Linked DNA regions of Arabidopsis thaliana. The protein of the gene in region 2 interacts with the protein of the main gene of each other region in a pairwise test. Each region holds a gene or a part of one and is shown on either strand. Other genes may lie near its edges.

Evidence for each region. The genes of interacting proteins can lie anywhere in the genome.
Region 1: the proteins of RKD2 (region 2) and AT2G16210 interact in a two-hybrid assay, tested with the Arabidopsis thaliana proteins (one large-scale study listed by BioGRID).

What each region holds. Positions count from the first base shown.
Region 1 is NC_003071.7:7,025,492-7,031,025, reverse strand, and holds AT2G16210 (Transcriptional factor B3 family protein), read left to right. Parts: upstream 1-1,850; 5' UTR 1,851-2,032; coding exon 2,033-2,131; intron 2,132-3,080; coding exon 3,081-3,375; intron 3,376-3,457; coding exon 3,458-3,708; coding exon of another isoform or gene 3,709-3,717; exon of another isoform or gene 3,718-3,799; coding exon 3,800-4,030; 3' UTR 4,031-4,265; downstream 4,266-5,534. Other genes in the region: AT2G16220 (F-box and associated interaction domains-containing protein), read left to right, coding at 1-871.
Region 2 is NC_003070.9:27,992,532-27,997,459, reverse strand, and holds RKD2 (RWP-RK domain-containing protein), read left to right. Parts: upstream 1-3,281; coding exon 3,282-3,352; intron 3,353-3,446; coding exon 3,447-3,574; intron 3,575-3,654; coding exon 3,655-4,025; exon of another isoform or gene 4,026-4,101; coding exon 4,102-4,428; downstream 4,429-4,928. Other genes in the region: AT1G74490 (Protein kinase superfamily protein), read left to right, coding at 964-1,051, 1,320-1,642, 1,735-1,870, 1,949-2,209, 2,309-2,700; AT1G74470 (Pyridine nucleotide-disulfide oxidoreductase family protein), read right to left, coding at 4,615-4,919. UniProt on the Arabidopsis thaliana protein: Putative transcription factor.

The DNA of each region.
Region 1 (5,534 bases), on a different chromosome or scaffold from region 2:
ATATGGTGATCGATACGAGGCTACACCTCTGATATGTAACCCCAACACAGGAAGGTATACGATCTTACCTAAGTGCTATACTTATAGAAAGGCGTTTAGCTTTTTCGGGTTTGACCCAATTGACAAGCAGTACAAGGCATTGTCCATGATCTATCCATCTGGTCCTGGTCACAGTAAAATTCTTACTTTTGGAGATGGGGATATGAATTGGAAAAAGATAAAATATCGTGTACTACATGATATTTACAGTCAAGGGATATGCATCAATGGTGTTTTGTATTACTTAGGTGACACGTCAGATTGGGATAATGATCATGATGTAACGTCTGGTAATGTGTTAGTTTGCTTTGATTTAAGATCCGAAAGTTTCACCTTTATTGGCTTAGAATGTGGTCAATTGATAAACTATAAGGGCAAATTAGCTGTAATTTTTTGGGATGATGTGGATGATGATGATGTGAAAGATGATGCCATTGATGAGATGCATGTGTGGGTTCTAGAGGATGTCGAGAAAAAGGAATGGTCGAAATATGCCTACACTTGGACCGAGGATAAATTATACCGTTCTCAGGTTTCCGTGGTTGGAATGACTGCTTCGGGTGAAATAGTGTTTTCGATGCGCAAGTATACATCTGAACAACCGTTTTATGTTTACTACTTCAATCCCGAAAGGAACAATCTCCGACGTGTTGAAATCCAAGGTTTTGAAGCGTTTACTAAATTTGGTACAGTTTACACCTTTGTAGATCACGTAGAGGATCTTAATGTTTACAATTTAAAACATTTCAAGTCAGTCCATCCTCCATCGGTGCAGCCAGAATATGATGAATCAGATTCAGAATCAGAAGAAGATAGAGAGATTATCATTTAGGTGAAAGCAATGAGCATTTCATTTTGTTCTCTTAACTAGGCTTTTTTTATTTTACTTTTAAATCAACCTTATCTATCTCTCTTTAACGAAATTTATACTTAAGAACAAGGTTTTGCAGTTTCTCTTAGTTCTGTCTTAATCTGAGTATATTTGCTTAAATTATCAATATTGTTCTTCTGTATGAGATCTGTCCTCTGTTCTTTTTCAATATCTTTCAGTGTTTGTCGTTTGTGTGTGATGGAAATGATTTCATGATGACGTTTTGGAGTCAAATACTTAATGGGATATGTAACAATATTCACTGTTTTTTTCACTATAATTGAAGAAAAAGTTCCTTAATGTTCTTTTATTTAGTCTAAGTCGTCTTCATGTTCTTAAACTATACAACTTCTTGTTAGCTTTGTTTTTAAAGTTTGAAACTTTTGGTTCTCTGTAACAATGGGTCTTGTAAGCTGTCTTTGAAAGATGGAACATTCTCGTCAAAGGTTGTAAAGCGTTTAAGAAACCTTGTAGAGGATCTTAATGTTTAACGGTTTAAAACAACTCAAGCCAGTCCATCCTCCATCCTCCTTGGACGTTGTTCAGTACTCTGTTGTTTTGATTTTCTGCGCCAATTAATGTTTTGGACTCTCTCAACAACTTATGCAACGAGACTAGTACTAAGACTGAGAACCAAAGTTTTGCTCTGACTAGAAAAATGCTCATCTCTCAGTTGAATCATGCAAATTTTATACTTTGGTCCACAAATATTGTCCCACCTGATTTTGTTTCTGAGCTAATTATTGACTAGTATTATAATCTATTTAAGATTTTAAAATTATATATTAGATAAATAGAATACATCTTCTGAACATTTTATTTTTAATTGGATAATAAGTTAATAACAACTCCTCCCTCGTCTTAATTGGACAATACCAACATTGTATTTATACATTAAAGAAACACATATAAGAGTTATGTGTGACAAAAAGTACATGACCTCACATTGTACTTATTTCTCAGTTCTAACTTTAACCACTTTGACTGAATCTTTTCCTTTGAAATTTGGTAGAGATTTCAACAGGTTTGGTCCTTACAAAAGAGAGAGGGAGAGAGATATAGGAAGAGAGTGTGAAAGAGAGACGAGAGCAAAAGCTTTGTGGGTGAGCTTGAATTAGAGAGATGGCTACGAACGCTGGTTATCTTCGGTGCAAAGAAGAGCGCAAGAATGAAAGCTTCTTCAAGGTTGTTCAGAGTATAAATGTTTCTTCAGAAAACAAGGTAACAACCTTCTAAACTCTTCTCCTTGTTAAATTTGTTGGCTTAGTTTGGAAAGATTGAAACTTTCGGTTCTTTGTAACAGGGGTTTGTCTTAAACTTTGACACTTGTTATTTTAGTTTGGAAAGGTTGAAACTTTTCGTAAATTGTCTTTATGGGTATCAGGAAAAAAAACTCACAGATCTTCTCTATGTAACGAACTTTCTTCATTCTACACTCGTATTTTTCTGTCTGAATGTGAGGATTCATGCTTTATTTTGCATCTTTGTTTCTTCTAGATGAGATCTGTCCTCTGTTATTTTTCATTGTCTTTCTCCTGTTTTAGTTGCTTCACTTAGTTCTCTGTCTGAATGTGAGCATTCATGCATTATTTTGCATCTTTGTTTCCTTTAGATGAGATCTGCCCTCTGTTATTTTTCATTGTCTTGTTTGGTTTGTCATTTGCGTGTGATGGGACTAATTAAACTTTGGGCTCACATATGGAAGAATGGAAAAGAATGTTATGCCAAAACATTTTGTTGTGTTTGTCACACTATATTTGTTACATGGTGAGATTTGAAACTTTGTACTTAAGACTTGATGGGATGTGTAAGAACGTTCACTTCGTTAGTTTAGTTTGGAAATGTTGAAACTTTTGGTCCTTTGTAACGTTGAATCTTGTTAGCTGTTTGTTTAAAGGTTGACTCTTTTCGTCAATTCTCTTTATCTGATATCAAGAACATTGTTTTGCTGCTTCTCTCATTACTCAGTTTAGATGTGAGGAGTCGTCATGAATTATTTTTCACCTCTGTTTCTTCTGAATGAGATTTGTCCTCTGTTAATTTGAAACTGTGGACCAAATACTTGTTGATTCCCTGTAGTTGAAGAAACGTTCTTTAGATCAACCATTCTTGCTTTATTGAAATTTTAGTCTTCTTATATCGTCTCTTCATTTTATTTGCATAATGAAAGAGAGCACTTCCACATGACTTTTCGAGAAGCTTCACCGACAAAGAGCTCTCACGTAAGATGAAGATAAGAGCGCAATGGGGAAACTCTTGGGAAGTAGGAATCTCTAAAAACCCTAGATTTTACTTCATGGAGAAGTCTGGCTGGGAGAAGTTTGTGAGGGACAATGCTTTGGGAAACAGTGAGTTACTTACCTTCACTCACAAAGGGAAAATGCACTTTACCGTGAACATCTTTAAGCTAGACGGGAAAGAGATGATGCAACCTCCACAATCCAGATCCTTCTTTGCTTCTTCAAGTAAGTAAGATTTGTTTTTCTGATTATGAAACAGTGAAACTGGATAAAGTCATTGAGTCTTTAGTTTTTGTTGATGCAACAGGTCGTATCAAAACAGAACAAGAGGAAAATGACATTAAGGAAGAGGTAGTGGTATCTTCTAACCGTGGCCAGACAACTGCAGCTGAATCTAAAGGAAGAAAGCTCAACCTTGGGAAGAGGGCAGCTAAGGAATCCCAAAGTTCTAAAAGGACCGAGAAAGTGGTTAGAGCCCGAAGTGATTACGCTGGTGCCTCTTCATCTACTGCTGCAGCATTCACCATCTTGTTCAAGCAAGGATATCTCGTATTCCTGGTAAGATAACACAAACCAAGACACTCTAAACAAAATCTCTGTATTGAGCTAAAAATTGGTATGTGAATGAATCTTTTGTTTGAGTGTTTAGAGGATCCCGAATTCTGTATCGAAGGATCAAGTGCCGGATGAGAAAACAGTATTCAAGATCCATCACCCAAATGGGAAGAAATCATGGAATGTGGTTTATCTGGAGAGGTTTGGAGCTTTCTCTGGTGGATGGCGTCGTGTGGTTAAAGAGTATCCCCTTGCTGTTGGTGATACCTGCAAATTCACATTCATCAAACCAAAGGAGCTACTTCTAGTTGTCTCCAAACCCTAATGAGGATGGATGTGAGGGTGTCTTGGAGAAGAAGTTACTACGTAAAAGAACTTTATTGTCTTAAGTTTTATGTAATGACTTTAGTTTGGTTTTTGCATATGAACTTTGCTTCTTGTTTATCGGATGTAGCTCTGTAGCTTAATATTTTGAGACCAATTTATCAAAATCGTTATATGTATGAATTGAATGACCCTAGAATCAAATTATCAACTCAATGGTAACCTTTTATTGTCAATTTGGCTGGTCATGCATATCTGGAAAACTTCAGTTTGAATCTTTATTTCTTGGCCTCTAAAATTAAGTATGGATTCTGAAGAAACGAAGACACAATCCACGTCTGAGAAGGATGACCTAAACCGATAAGCCAACAACAACAATTGATGTTCTGTTCGTTCTGTTGCAATGTGCGTGACCTGTTTGAACATCATCTTAATTAGTCTACCACGTCCATTTTTATCTCCTTGGTATGAATATCCTGAAGAAGACAAGCTTGGAGGCCCACTTAGACGTTAAATCAGCCCATTTTTGTGTTTCTTAACCGACTAAAATCGGATAAATAAATTCACGAAAGCTAGGTCTCTTTAGTAGTATATAAGCTAGGTTTCTCTAGGTCTTACATTAATATGTAAATTTTAACAAATCTCCTTCTTCGTTCGATCTGAAATCATGAATTCATATTCCTTAACGAATGATCTCATCATGGAGATATTGTCGAGATTGCCAGCAGAGTCGGTCGTGAGGTTTTGTTGCGTGTCAAAGCGATGGGCATCAATGTTTGGTACTCCATATTTCAAGGAGTTGTGCCGGACCAGGTCCACGGCTAATCCGCGCCTCTTATTCTCAGTCTGATTCTGAATCTGAATCTGATTGATGATATTCTGCGTGTAAATTGTATTGCTTCAACTTCGGAAGGAACACTCTCTAACGTGTTGAAATACAAGGTTTTGGTGAAGCAGTTACGAAACCTTGTAGCGTTTGCACCTTTGTAAACCACGGGGAGAATCATAATGTTAACGATTTAGAACAGCTCAAGTCAGTCCATCCTCCATTGGTGGAGCCAGAATATCATCAATCAGATTCAGATTCAGAATCAGACTGAGAAGGGACAAGGAGAGAAGAAGGATAGAGACGATCATTGGAGTCAGGTGAAAGCAAAGGGCATGTCATTTTGTTCTCTTACCTATGCGTTTCTTTTTTTATCTCTTGAACGAGCTTTATACATGTATCTTTCATTTTGTTTGGTCTCAAGAACAAGGTTTTGCAGTTTCTTTTAGTTCTCTGTCTTAATCTTGATTATTTATGCTTAACATTTTCAACATTGTTTCTTCTGGATGAGAATGGTCCTTTGTTCTTTTTCAACATCTTGTACTGTTTGTCATTTGTGTGTGATGGGACTAATTTATTTCATGATGACACTTTGGACTCAAATACTTAATGGGATTTGTATTTGTAAAAATGTTCACTGATTTTTCACTGTAATTGAAGGAAACATTCCTTCAGTTCT
Region 2 (4,928 bases):
CAAACCCAACCAGAACTAATGGGTTCGTCAATGATGATTGAAATAGAGCACCGAGCCTAAACACTTACATTTTTATATGTGAATCTTCAATGAATATTTTTTGTAACAACACGCATTATGATTTAAATCCGGATAGGAATACAATAACGATATTAGGACAAACTACTATCTCTTCATATCTTTATCCACAATGGATTTCTTGTCATATTCAAGAAATGAAACAAATAACTACATATGAGATAATAATATCTATATGGGACTTTGACGTTAACATAAAAAAATCTAATTTTCACTACAAATTCATAGTCATTTTCTCAGAGTTCCAAGATAACTCTCATATATTAAAGATCATGTCCACTATAATCGTGTATGTTAAATGGTAACCGATTGTTCTCTATTGATTTAGATTCATCTTAGCTATAATCATTTATTCATTTATCATAAACAATATGATCATTTAAAATTATTAAGAAATCAATAAGAAATAACAAAATAAAATGTAATAAAAATTATTCTATAAAAAAGTCAGCTAGTAAATTTATAACCAAAAAATAAAAAAGAAAATTAATGGGAAGAGTGTGGGGGACACGAGAGTTTCACGTGACGTAAATAAGTCAATTGGTAATTAATAGGGTGACTCTCTCTGACAGGAAGTTAATACAACACGGAAACTCTTTTCTCCAAGTTCTCTCTAATTATAGTTTTTCCAAATTTTTACAATTCCAACCCCTTTCTCTCTAATCTCTCTTCCAAACCTCTGCATCGCTTTCAAATCCAAATACATTTTGACTCTTTTCACCACTCTCGTTTCCACGTTCTTCCTTTTCACCAGAGGAAGAATGTCGATGACAGAGCCGGTGTGGAAGATCAATCCATAGCCATTTTAATACTCTGTTTTATTTCTTCCATTAATTGTATCTAGGGTTTTGGTTTTTGGATGATTACATCTTTGTATAGGATTAAATGGGGAATTGCTTTGAATCTTGTTCGAAGAGAAATGATAATGAGGACGATAATCTTGACTCCTCAGTGAACTCGAAACCCTTTTCACGTAAGCTCTTCTCATTCTTTGATATTCATATCTCTCTGTTTCTGGAAGAGTCTAACTAAATTCTTACTGGAATTGTTGAACATAACTTGTCCTTTTGCACATTTTCCTGGACCCTCTGAATGTTAATGCATTGATGGATGAATCTTTTATGTAGTCTGGTTATTCGATTGCCCTGTTCTTAACTTTAGTGACTTTGTTGTTGATAGTTCTGTTTATCCATTTAATTCTCATTTTGATGTAAGAATGTGTGGCTCTGTTTCTTATCCAGGAGCTAATAGTGATACTGGAAGAAGCTCGAATCTGTCATATCCATGGAGTTTAAAACCTCTCATTACAAGAAAATGTGAAGCTATCAGTGCTCTACCTCCACCGCACAAAGAAGGAGACATAATGCATTCTCAATATTTGAAGTCCTTTACCTTAGATGAGCTAAAGAATGCTACAGGAAACTTCTGTCCAGAGAGTCTAATTGGAGAAGGAGGGTTCGGGTTTGTTCACAAAGGCTGTATTAATGGTGGACCTGGAATCGAACTCGCGGTTGCTGTAAAGAAGCTTAAAACCGAAGGGCTTCAGGGACATAAGGAGTGGCTGGTAAGCTTCTTTTCAAATCATTTTATTATGATTTCACCTTGAGACTGTACTCTATTGAAATCTCTACTACTTGTATATGGTTTTCTCCAAAGAGGGAAGTGAATTATCTTGGAAGATTGCATCATCCGAATCTAGTGAAACTGATTGGTTACTCCTTGGAAAACGAACACCGCCTTTTGGTTTACGAGCATTTGCCTAATGGTAGTCTTGAGAATCATTTGTTTGAAAGTAAGTAAAGAAACTCTTTCTTAAATCTAAAACTTTTTGAGTTTTTTCCTTCAATGATCTGGATTCTGCTTATTCTAGGGAGTTCCAGTGTGCTTTCTTGGTCACTGCGTATGAAAGTCGCGATTGGTGCTGCTCGAGGGCTATGTTTTTTGCATGAAGCTAATGACCAAGTCATTTACAGAGACTTCAAAGCAGCAAATATCCTTCTCGATTCAGGATTCAACGCCAAACTCTCAGACTTTGGATTGGCCAAAGAAGGTCCAAAAGATAACCGTTCACATGTGACAACAGAAGTCATGGGTACAGAAGGTTACGCAGCTCCAGAGTATCTAGCAACAGGTTTCTCTTTATTTATTTATTTGCTCATTTGATTCCATTTCAATAAAGAACATAACATGAAAATTTCTAAAAGCATTGCCTTTTTTTGTTCTCTGTCAGGTCATCTAACAACGAAATGTGATGTCTACAGCTTCGGTGTAGTGTTGCTAGAGATTCTCTCTGGGCGTCGAGTCATAGACAAATCCAAATCACGGGAAGAAGAAAACCTAGTGGATTGGGCAACACCTTACTTGCGAGACAAGCGAAAAGTGTTTAGGATAATGGACACAAAGCTTGTGGGTCAATACCCTCAGAAAGCAGCGTTTATGATGTCTTTCTTGGCTTTACAATGTATCGGAGATGTTAAGGTTAGACCATCGATGCTTGAGGTCGTATCTCTTCTTGAGAAAGTTCCAATTCCAAGACATAGAAAGAGTAGAAGCAAAGGTTTTGCTTGTACTAACTCTGCTTCTATGCCTTCAAAACGGTTTCTCAGACATCCTAAGGACTAAAAAAATCTTTGGCTTTTTGGATCGTTCTTTTGTGGAAATGGAATATAAAACTTTTTTGTTACTTCATTAATAACTTATGATTAATTATGAGAAATGGAAATTAAAGATATATGGCCATGATCTACAATAATGTTTTAACCATACGTTTCATTTTGTTATCTTAATCATTCAGTTAGTGGTTATTAAACAATACATAATCATGATCATTGTGATGTGTATGTATGCGTATATATAAGAACATGTACATTGAGTAGTACTACACTATTTACTCGAAATGATTGCATGTCATATATGCATGGAGAGACGAAAAGAGGAGTCTAATCCAAATCTAAACGCCCCTATAAATTACCCACTAATTAACATTAATCATATCTTCTCGTAACTCCAAATTTAACACGACAATCAATTAGCCGTCAATACTCAATACCCCACTTCTCCTAATAGATTCATCATCACTTCCATTCTTTATTCTCTCTCCATATCTTACTACCACTAGTCTCTTCTCTGAATGTAGTATATAAATCTTTTCTCGCATCATCGAGTTTCACAACACAACTTCTATCTCTCTCACTTTCTTTACAATGGCTGATCACACAACCAAAGAACAGAAGTCATTCTCATTCCTAGCTCATTCTCCATCCTTTGATCACAGGTTAATTTCAGAAGCTTTTGTATAGTTTCATTTTGTTATTAGTTTTTGTTTTCTTATAATTTATTTTCTCTGTATTTTTCCAAACGCAATGCAGCTCCTTAAGTTATCCTTTATTCGACTGGGAAGAAGATCTTCTTGCTCTCCAAGAAAACTCTGGCTCTCAAGCATTTCCTTTTACTACAACTTCTCTGCCTTTACCTGATCTTGAACCCTTGTCTGAAGGTATAACATATTATTACATAGTTTTTATATTCATATAGAGCTATATACATAGAGGTCTCATGGTCTTGTTTGTTCTGTAGATGTACTCAATTCATACAGCTCTGCGTCATGGAACGAAACAGAGCAAAACAGAGGAGATGGCGCTTCATCGGAGAAGAAGAGGGAAAATGGAACAGTGAAAGAGACAACTAAGAAGAGGAAAATCAATGAGAGACACAGAGAACATAGCGTGAGAATCATCAGCGATATTACTACCTACACAACTAGTTCAGCTCCAACGACATTGTCAAAGGAAACTGTCTCTCGCTACTTCTACATGCCCATAACTCAGGCTGCAATAGCACTTAACGTTGGTTTAACTCTACTAAAAAGGAGATGTCGCGAATTGGGTATTCGCCGATGGCCTCATCGTAAACTTATGAGCTTAAACACTTTGATCAGTAACGTCAAGGTATGTAGAACAAGGCACTACACTTAATATTATTGTTTTCAGATAATTGAACTCAAATGTTTTATCATATGAATAGGAGCTGCAGAAGATGGAAGGCGAAGAGAATGCAGAAAAACTGCAGGACGCGTTGGAGATGCTTGAGAAGGAGAAGAGGACAATTGAGGATTTGCCGGATTTGGAGTTTAAGGACAAGACAAAGAGGCTAAGACAAGCTTGTTTCAAGGCTAACCACAAGAGGAAGAAGAAGAGAAGTCTCAAGTCCGATCAGTCTCAAGTACCCTCGTGTTCAAGCAGCGGATCAGTTCCTAGTGATGAGTCGGTTGATGAAGCAGGAATGGAGAGTGATGAAGAAATGAAGTATCTCTTGTGTGGTTTCTCAAGTGAATTTACTAGTGGTTTGTGAAATCTGTTTTTAGTGAGAAATTGGGGATTGTAAAGCCAAATGCTTTTTGACTAATTCAATGAACAGAAAACATAAATATGATACTGAATACATTGAAGAGTAACAACATTAGTGTAGATAGATTACTAACAGACAAAAAAAGAGAGATAGAGATGAAGAAAGGAGATAGACCTCATTATTTGTTTCTTAAACACTAAGCTTCTCAATCTCTCTCCTTAGAGCATTAGCCCTAACCAAACTTCCAATGGTGTTCACAGCCAACTTGATATCCTCCAAAGGACTACCCGGCGCAACCCGCTTGTACAGATAGCTATCGAATGTCATCTTCTGAACATACTCATCATTACACATCTCCACAAACGCTTCTCTAGCCGGATTTGATCTGTAAAACACTTTCTGCAACACATCAAGTACCCTGTAGGTAGGCAAGTATGTCTTATCCCATTTCTCCAAGTACTTCCTCAAGTCCCCTTCGTCAATCATCTTCTTACCTATAGCAA